Linked DNA regions of Nothobranchius furzeri. The protein of the gene in region 1 purifies or fractionates together with the protein of each later gene. This does not show direct contact. Links are inferred from orthologs where the notes say so. Each region holds a gene or a part of one and is shown in the gene's direction. Other genes may lie near its edges. The genes, in order: gan and nudcd3.

Region 1 (3,821 bases):
ACCATTTTACATTTACCAATGAAATGTCACTCAGACCCCCACCGCCCTCTTTGACCTTAATACCGCACTTGCAACTTCAGAGTGGCGGGCTGCCTCCTGTTGGACTCCGAAAAAACTGGAGCTGCAGGCTGCTTCCAGCACGTTTCCTGCATGTTTTAGATCATGAACACAGCTGATTTGTTTAATTTAGTGATGAATCACTCCTGAAGACTAATGAAGGCTGGGAGACGTTTCAGCTGTTAGATTAAGGAGTTAAAACGATCAGCGCGCAGCAAGGAGAGAAGTAGAAAGTTCAGTTTGACCACAGAGAATTAATAACGGACACTAGGGGGTGCTAAAGCAAGAAAAACTGCCAAGTGTGACTTGAAATGCTTTTTTCCCCTCATCCTATTCTATACACAAACACGAAAACCTAAATTCTTTGAACCCGTCTCCGGTTTCCTAGGAAACTTGTATTGTTAAGATGGCCCTAAGATCAGTCACAATAAGTTAAAGCTGTGGTCCTCTGGATGGACAGCCTGCTAAAAGCTGCAGCTGGAGCAGGATGCATAAAGGGATCGGTGCCGTTGAGTCTGTGTATCATTCTATATCCAACTTAAAACCCAAATTCAAAACATTATTTTAAAGGGACATAATGGAAGTTTGACAGCTAAAACATGTATAGAAATAATAAATGTCTTCTTCATACATTCTCCTGCAATGCCCTGGTCCTGTAGAATGAGCTCTGGCATTTTTACTGTGATTGCCTGTTTTTCTGTAAAATCACAGAAAAAGAGAGATGCTCGGGTCGAGCAGGCTGCTTCATGCGCGTTCACGCTCAGGCATCGCCCGTAGCATTTGCTATCCGTAGCTTTAGCAGCAGAGAGAGAGGCAGTGCCACTTTGTCGCTGTTCCTAACGCCTAGTGACAAAGCTAGCTACATTTCTGAGGACCCTTAGCTACTTTCTGTAGAACTTTCTTCTAGATATTTCCTGCTAATTAGCAACAAAATAGCCATTTTCGCTCGGAACCGTTCTTTGGTTTGACGTTGTTTCAGCTGTCATCAAGGATATAAAAGTTACAGATACAAAGGATGTCACTGGTGCTTTAGCTCACATAGTAAGACGTCTGACTCCCATGCAGAAGACCAGAGTTTGATTCTGGGTGTGAACACAGTTTATTTAGAGTTTCTTTTTTACATTAATGGTATATTTTTTTGCAGTAAGATGCCCAAATTTTTGAGACGCGCCGAACGGCATTGAATTCACAGATAAAAAAGATGTGGGTTCAACTTTCATTTTGGAACAATTTTTCAAGCAAGGGAAGGGAATGGTCTGAGCATGCAGGAGGACTGACCCATCTTAAACCTTTGTCGGCTGTGCTGAAGAGAAAGGTACAGAACCAAATTATTTAATTAATTAGCTGCTCGTTCTCCTGTCCTCTGACACACACACACACACACACACACACACACACACACACACACACACACACACACACACACACACACACACACAGGACTGTCTCAGCTTTTATTTTCGTTAAGGAGTGTGCACGTACAGCATGCGCGCCTCGTGCACGAGCCTACTATTGAAGCTGCCGTTACGCTTTTGGCCTGAGGGGGCAATCGCGAGCATAAAAATTCAAAACTCCGTAAAGTCCCTTTAAAGTACATTTTTTATTTGTTTAAGATTCAGATACAACAACTTAAACAGATCTTGGTCTCATCTGGTCTGTTTTAATGTCTAATCAGAAATACGAAACAGACATACTTCGGGTTTTTCCCAGTAAGATGTGCATTACCGGTTCATTTCCTCCTTCAGGTCGGCTGCTACGCCTCCATGAACAAGAAGATTTATGCCATCGGTGGCGGCTCCTACGGAAAGCTGTTCGACTCCGTCGAATGCTTTGACCCTAAAACCCAACAGTGGACGGGCCTGTGCCCTTTGAAGGAGAGGAGGTAACAGAAGAAGACGACTCACAGTTCAGCATGCAACCATTTATGTCTGTAGAGACGTGTGATGCACAACAGGAAGTGAAACACTAGTGTGTGGTTGCTGTCACAATCCCAGAGCTGATCACTTAGTTTCATTTTGACATGAGTTCCTCCACATTTCCAGACATGGAAACATTCCTGCATGCACAAAAATCCCAGGATGTTAGCGTTTTTAAAATGTGCAGCAGGTGTTCATGTGTTCATCTGAGGATGAAGGACCGGTTTTTGGAACAGAACTTCCTTCCTACTGTGGTGTTAGTGTAAAGTGCGTCATCGCCCCTAATTCTGCCGTTTCCTGTTGCCTCCTTTGTGGCTTTAGAGAGATGGAGAGAGATTATGTTGCTCTTTGCTCTTTGCTCAAAATAAATAACCAGAATTAAATAAAATCAGTCAATGGATAAATAAAATACTAAGAACAGTTCTTGAATCGAGTTTAAAGGCAACAAAACAAAATTTAGACTTAATTGAATCTTCTTTTACGTTCATCAGTGTGTCCTAACCCCGTCACCATCAGTGTGTCCTAACCCCGTCACCATCAGTGTGTGAATAACCCCGTCACCATCAGTGTGTCCTAACCCCGTCACCATCAGTGTGTGAATAACCCCGTCACCATCAGTGTGTCCTAACCCCGTCACCATCAGTGTGTCCTAACCCCGTCACCATCAGTGTGTCCTAACCCCGTCACCATCAGTGTGTTCTAACCCCGTCACCATCAGTGTGTCCTAACCCCGTCACCATCAGTGTGTCCTAACCCCGTCACCATCAGTGTGTCCTTACCCCGTCACCATCAGTGTGTCCTAACCCCGTCACCATCAGTGTGTCCTAACCCCGTCACCATCAGTGTGTCCTAACCCCGTCACCATCGGTGTGTCCTAACCCCGTCACCATCGGTGTGTCCTAACCCCGTCACCATCGGTGTGTCCTAACCCGGTCACCATCGGTGTGTCCTAACCCGGTCACCATCGGTGTGTCCTAACCCCGTCACCATCGGTGTGTCCTAACCCCGTCACCATCGGTGTGTCCTAACCCCGTCACCATCGGTGTGTCCTAACCCCGTCACCGTCGGTGTGTCCTAACCCCGTCACCGTCGGTGTGTCCTAACCCCGTCACCGTCGGTGTGTCCTAACCCCGTCACCGTCGGTGTGTCCTAACCCCGTCACCGTCGGTGTGTCCTAACCCCGTCACCGTCTGTGTGTCCTAACCCCGTCACCGTCTGTGTGTCCTAACCCCGTCACCGTCGGTGTGTCCTAACCCCGTCACCGTCGGTGTGTCCTAACCCCGTCACCGTCGGTGTGTCCTAACCCCGTCACCGTCGGTGTGTCCTAACCCCGTCACCGTCGGTGTGTCCTAACCCCGTCACCGTCGGTGTGTCCTAACCCCGTCACCGTCGGTGTGTCCTAACCCCGTCACCGTCGGTGTGTCCTAACCCCGTCACCGTCAGTGTGTCCTAACCCCGTCACCATCAGTGTGTCCTAACCCCGTCACCATCAGTGTGTCCTTACCCCGTCACCATCAGTGTGTCCTAACCCCGTCACCATCAGTGTCCTAACCCCGTCACCATCGGTGTGTCCTAACCCCGTCACCATCGGTGTGTCCTAACCCCGTCACCGTCGGTGTGTCCTAACCCCGTCACCGTCAGTGTGTCCTTACCCCGTCACCGTCAGTGTGTCCTAACCCCGTCACCGTCAGTTTGTCGTAACCCCGTCACCGTCAGTGTGTCCTAACCCCGTCACCGTCAGTGTGTCCTAACCCCGTCACCGTCAGTGTGTCCTAACCCCGTCACCGTCAGTGTGTCCTAACCCCGTCACCGTCAGTGTGTCCTAACCCCGTCACCGTCAGTGTGTCC
Region 2 (4,563 bases), on another chromosome or scaffold:
ATATCAGTTTGGACTGTTTATTGTATATTCCTACAATTCAGTCTAAAAAATTGCTAATAATGTCTGACTGAATGTATCGCAATATGCATTGTATCGTCACCCCTGTATTGTGATATGTATTGAATCGCCGAAATTTCAGCAATACACATCCCTAGAAGACATGGTGTGTGGACTTCTGTAAAAACAGTCATGACGTGGAGTTTGAAGTGGAGACTAAATAATAACATAAATCAGGCAAAGATGATTGATGCAGCTTGATGTGTTTAGAATAAAGTTTACCTTGCAGCATACAGCTGTTACATGGAGGCTTCTGCTTCCTATTGGGCCGCTCAACAAGCTGGACCAAGCAAAGGAACTCTGGAGGGGAAGCAGGTATACAGACCATTTAACGTTTGTAATATGTGCAGAAAAAAAGAGAGAGCATTTTAGAGGCTTGTTAAAAATTTTAAACATGTAGGATCTCTGTTCAAAAACTGAAAATACTCAGACGTCCAGTTCCTTAATCATGAAGGATTTTGCCCACAAATTCCCAGTTATCTTTATTCATTTATTTATTTTTTATTGAAGACTTCAGTCAATCACATATGTAATTTCAATATTGGTTGCATAAAAACAATAACTATGTGACTATGACTAAAATGATTTATGTCACATCACATATCCTATTTTCCAGCCACTATTTCTGTGATGTAAAAATGAGGACGAAATCTATGAATAAATGGAAAAAGTTGTGGAATTTGTTAGTATCTTAAATATCACTGTAAGAACAAAACCGTAATCCTGAGCAATAATTTGAAGATCGAGGATTTATATCTAGTTGTTCCTTTCCACATTTTATGTATATTTTCAAACTCCTTCAGTTAATTTTCTGAAACAAAGCTAGGTGTTCACTAGTTATACCGGTTACTGAAAATACACTAATCTGGTAAACAGAAAATACAGTTTACCAGTAAATTCATGCACAACAGTTAACATTGTCCAGATTAGAGCATTACTATTGTTACGCTGAGTCTAAAGAGACACACAATTCAATATAACAATAATGAACATTCCATTTTTAGATAATTTCCTTACCAGCAGCCTCACGTTCGCTGTGCTAGTCAAGGACGCCGCCATGTTTAACTCGGAGAGGGAAGGTGTTACTATCATTTGTTTATTTTACAGACCAACTATAATTTTTATAGCTATCAAAAAATAAAAATGTAAATATCGTAATGATTTCAGCTTGCTATGTAAATAAAAAAAAGATCTTTCCCCTTAAACGCCGAAAGTTACCTATGTCCGGAATGATTACTGTATACTTGTGTTCTTACCGTACAACAACTGAGCTGTACCAACCGGATATTGTTAATATAAAATATTTTTTAAATATCGTCACAGTCACATTTAGTTGTAAAACACAGAAATGTAAAGCTTTATTTATTTTATTTTAAGCCCTAATGATGCTTAGACATTTAATCATTGTATACGTAACTTGGTTTACAAGAACAGTTTTTTTGTATTTTATAATTAGGAAATATGTTTTAATAATTGTTCAATAACTATTTAAATGTAAATTAGTTTGACTTCCAAACATTTAAAACCCATCTAGGTTTAAAAATATAAATTATCATTGTTATTTATTTTATGTGGGAACTTATTTTGAAAGCACTATACCGGAAAACGGTGAATTGTTCTGGAAAAGGAAACAGTCGCTAAGAAATTTCAGCTGGCACCATTTGTTGTTGTTGTTTTTATTCTGTCTTAAAGTCCCACATTTCAGTTCTGGTCGCTCGCTGTTGATCAGAAGACTTTATAGTTTTTTTTTTTTTTGTAAAGTCTAAAAAAGGTTTAAAGCTACCATGGCGTCACCGCTGCAGATGACTGAGATGTATGACAACGCTCTGCTTGGGATCCTTCAGCACGTTGGGAACGTTCAGGACTTTCTCCAGGTTTATTTCGGATTTTTGTATCGCAAAACAGACTTTTATCGCCTGTTGTCTGGTCCCAGCGACAGGATGGGCTTCCCCCCAGGTGTTGCGGAGAAGATGGTGCTGAAGGTGAGCTATAGTCTGTCAGTATACCATGTTATATTGTTACATGGCAAAAATAATTATTCAGCATTCGTTTAGCATTCTAAAATGTGTTTTTTAATTAAAAGTTAACCAGAATTGTTTTCTAATTAGACAATTAATGTCTAATCTTGTGTTTAACAAAGTTTTGACTCAAACGCATTTAGGTCAAAGGTTATCAGAGAGGTTTTTGCATGGATCACTTATTTGTTACAACATACTATTTTATATTAGCAGTAACATCTACATCTAGCTTTAAATCACATGCGAATAAAACATGTCTGTAAAATCCATCTGAGAACTGGAGGGGAATAAGTGTTCATAATGGCAGACTGGGAGGATAGAGGACAGCAGCACATGACGGTCTGGTTGATGGAGAAGTATCTAAGGACATGATCTGTAAACCCTCACTTTAAAGCTGTGTAAAGCACATGCAGTTATTTTTAGTTTGTCCCTTCCAGGACACCATACCTAAAAAAACGGATAATTTTCAGTTTTCTATATGCTAAGGCTGCATTCACAGTGTTAACTGTGTCATCTGAAACTGTAGTTTTATATATTTTATCAGACTTTTGTTAATAGCTCTTTTAAAATATTCCATACGAAAAGTTAAAAGATGCATCCATCTTTCTATTTTCTACCTTTTATCCAAATAACCATGTATCACGTTCTGGGTCTGTCCAGAATTCTCCTCTCTGTGGGACTTATCTGGAAAACCTCCCAGGAGCCAGTCAGGTACCCACATCACTTTGGCTGACTCGTTTAGGTATGAAGAAGCCCCAGGTCTTTGACTTCCCCCTGGGTGATGGAGATCATTTCCTTATCTCTTAAGGCTGAGCAAATATTGTGACCATAGCTGAGAGTTGGAATATAAACAGACCATTAAATTGAAATATTTTTCTTTTGGCTCAGCAGCTTATTCTTTACCACGACATGCTGACACAGCAGCCATGTCTCAACAGAAAAAGCCCTTAACCGTTGGACCACCTCGTCCTCTGTCCCACCGCCTCTTACAAGCAAGACTCCAGGATGCCTGAGCCTGAGGAAGAGACTCCCTCCCAACCTGGAGGACCTGACTCAATCTGGCTGCTTCACACTCCGCTTTAAACCATCCCAGTGCATGTTTAAGGTCTTTGCATGAAGCCAACACCTACACTACATCCTCTGCAGAAAGCAGAGATGAAATCTTGACGTTCCTAAACTGGACATCCTCTTGTCCATGATGACATTCTGAGGTTCTGTTCATGAACATCCCCAACAGGACTAGCGACGACCAACTCTGAGGCCCCCCAACCAGCATCATGAATGTGCTTTTGACTTGTCGCTGTAGACGGGGACACGGCTCTTGCTTTGGTTGACCTGAAAGCTTGTTCAAGTGACCTCAGCAACCCGTGTGCTACCGCAGCACAGCCCGAGTCTGTATCTCAGGGGTGTCAAATACGCGGCCCGCGGGCTGGATCCGGCCCGCAAGCAGGTTAAATCCGGCCCGCGAGATGGTTGTGTAAACTTTATGTTCATACCTTACAACGGTAGAGTGAACTTGTGAGCAAGTTTTCTCTGTAATGAGTATAAATAAAACAAAGCTGCGCTCAAGGCTCACACAAGAACTTGAATCACATCCTGAAGTTGGCTGCCACTCAGGATGTGACTTCTGATACTGATGTGCTGGTGAAAGCTAAAAGATGTAAAGTAAAATGAGTCAAATATATTTGAAGTGCTGCATGAAACTGATCTAGCCATAGGGCTGGGCGATATGACGATTGTAGACCGTTTTACTATCTACACATCTGACGGTCTGTCATTTTTGAGAGACCGTTTTATCACGATTCACAGCTCTGCTGTTGAATTTCTGCCTCTGAATGAAAAGGGAACTTACCTCAGGCGAATGACACGCCTTTGTTTGACCCTTAACCAATCAGAGTGAGTCATAGTAATATATTAGTGCCCCGCTTGTTTTCATTTGTGTGCGAACAAACATGGCTTCGCCGCGGCTGAGCGACAACGAGGTTTTCGTTCCGAAGAGGAACGCAGGGTTTCCTTAGCGCGCGGCGCTAACAACTTAGTGACGTGACATGTCTCGGAGAAAGCGTAAAAACACGTTGGACGCTTCTTCTGAAGCAGGAAAATAACACCGCTTCTTAAGCAGAGCACGACGTCACCTCGGCTGGTTCACCCTCTGCCGAGCCGGTGTCGGTACCGGACTGAGCTCGGTCACTGGGTCGTTGGAGCTGCCCCGTGACTGGCTGATGGAAAACCAGCGGGTTTCATCAGACTCGTAGTTTCTTGTTTTTGCTGGGGACCCCCTGTATTTTACCGCTCCCTCCTGCAGTCTTCCCCTATTAACATTTAAAATGATTCTGTAAACTCCGTGTATCAATAGAAACGATCTCTGCCTCTGCCAGCTGCAGTAAATGTAGTCTCCAAATAATAAGAGGTGCATTCATCTGTGTATCTCCTTTGATCCACATTAGTGATATTTTCAGCACCAGAATAGTGAAGCAAAGAAAGATTC

The links.
Region 2: the proteins of gan (region 1) and nudcd3 purify together in Homo sapiens (co-immunoprecipitation; 3 studies listed by BioGRID and IntAct, counting the BioPlex papers as one, with this or other methods). This does not show direct contact. The link is inferred for Nothobranchius furzeri from reciprocal best matches to the Homo sapiens genes GAN and NUDCD3.

Annotation. Positions count from the first base shown.
Region 1 is NC_091744.1:82,314,238-82,318,058, forward strand, and holds part of gan (gigaxonin), read left to right. Parts: intron 1-1,802; coding exon 1,803-1,939; intron 1,940-3,821. UniProt on the Homo sapiens protein: Probable cytoskeletal component that directly or indirectly plays an important role in neurofilament architecture.
Region 2 is NC_091746.1:39,650,399-39,654,961, forward strand, and holds the start of nudcd3 (nudC domain-containing protein 3), read left to right. Parts: upstream 1-1,678; 5' UTR 1,679-1,841; coding exon 1,842-2,039; intron 2,040-4,563. Other genes in the region: mrps24 (small ribosomal subunit protein uS3m), read right to left, coding at 280-357, 1,075-1,149.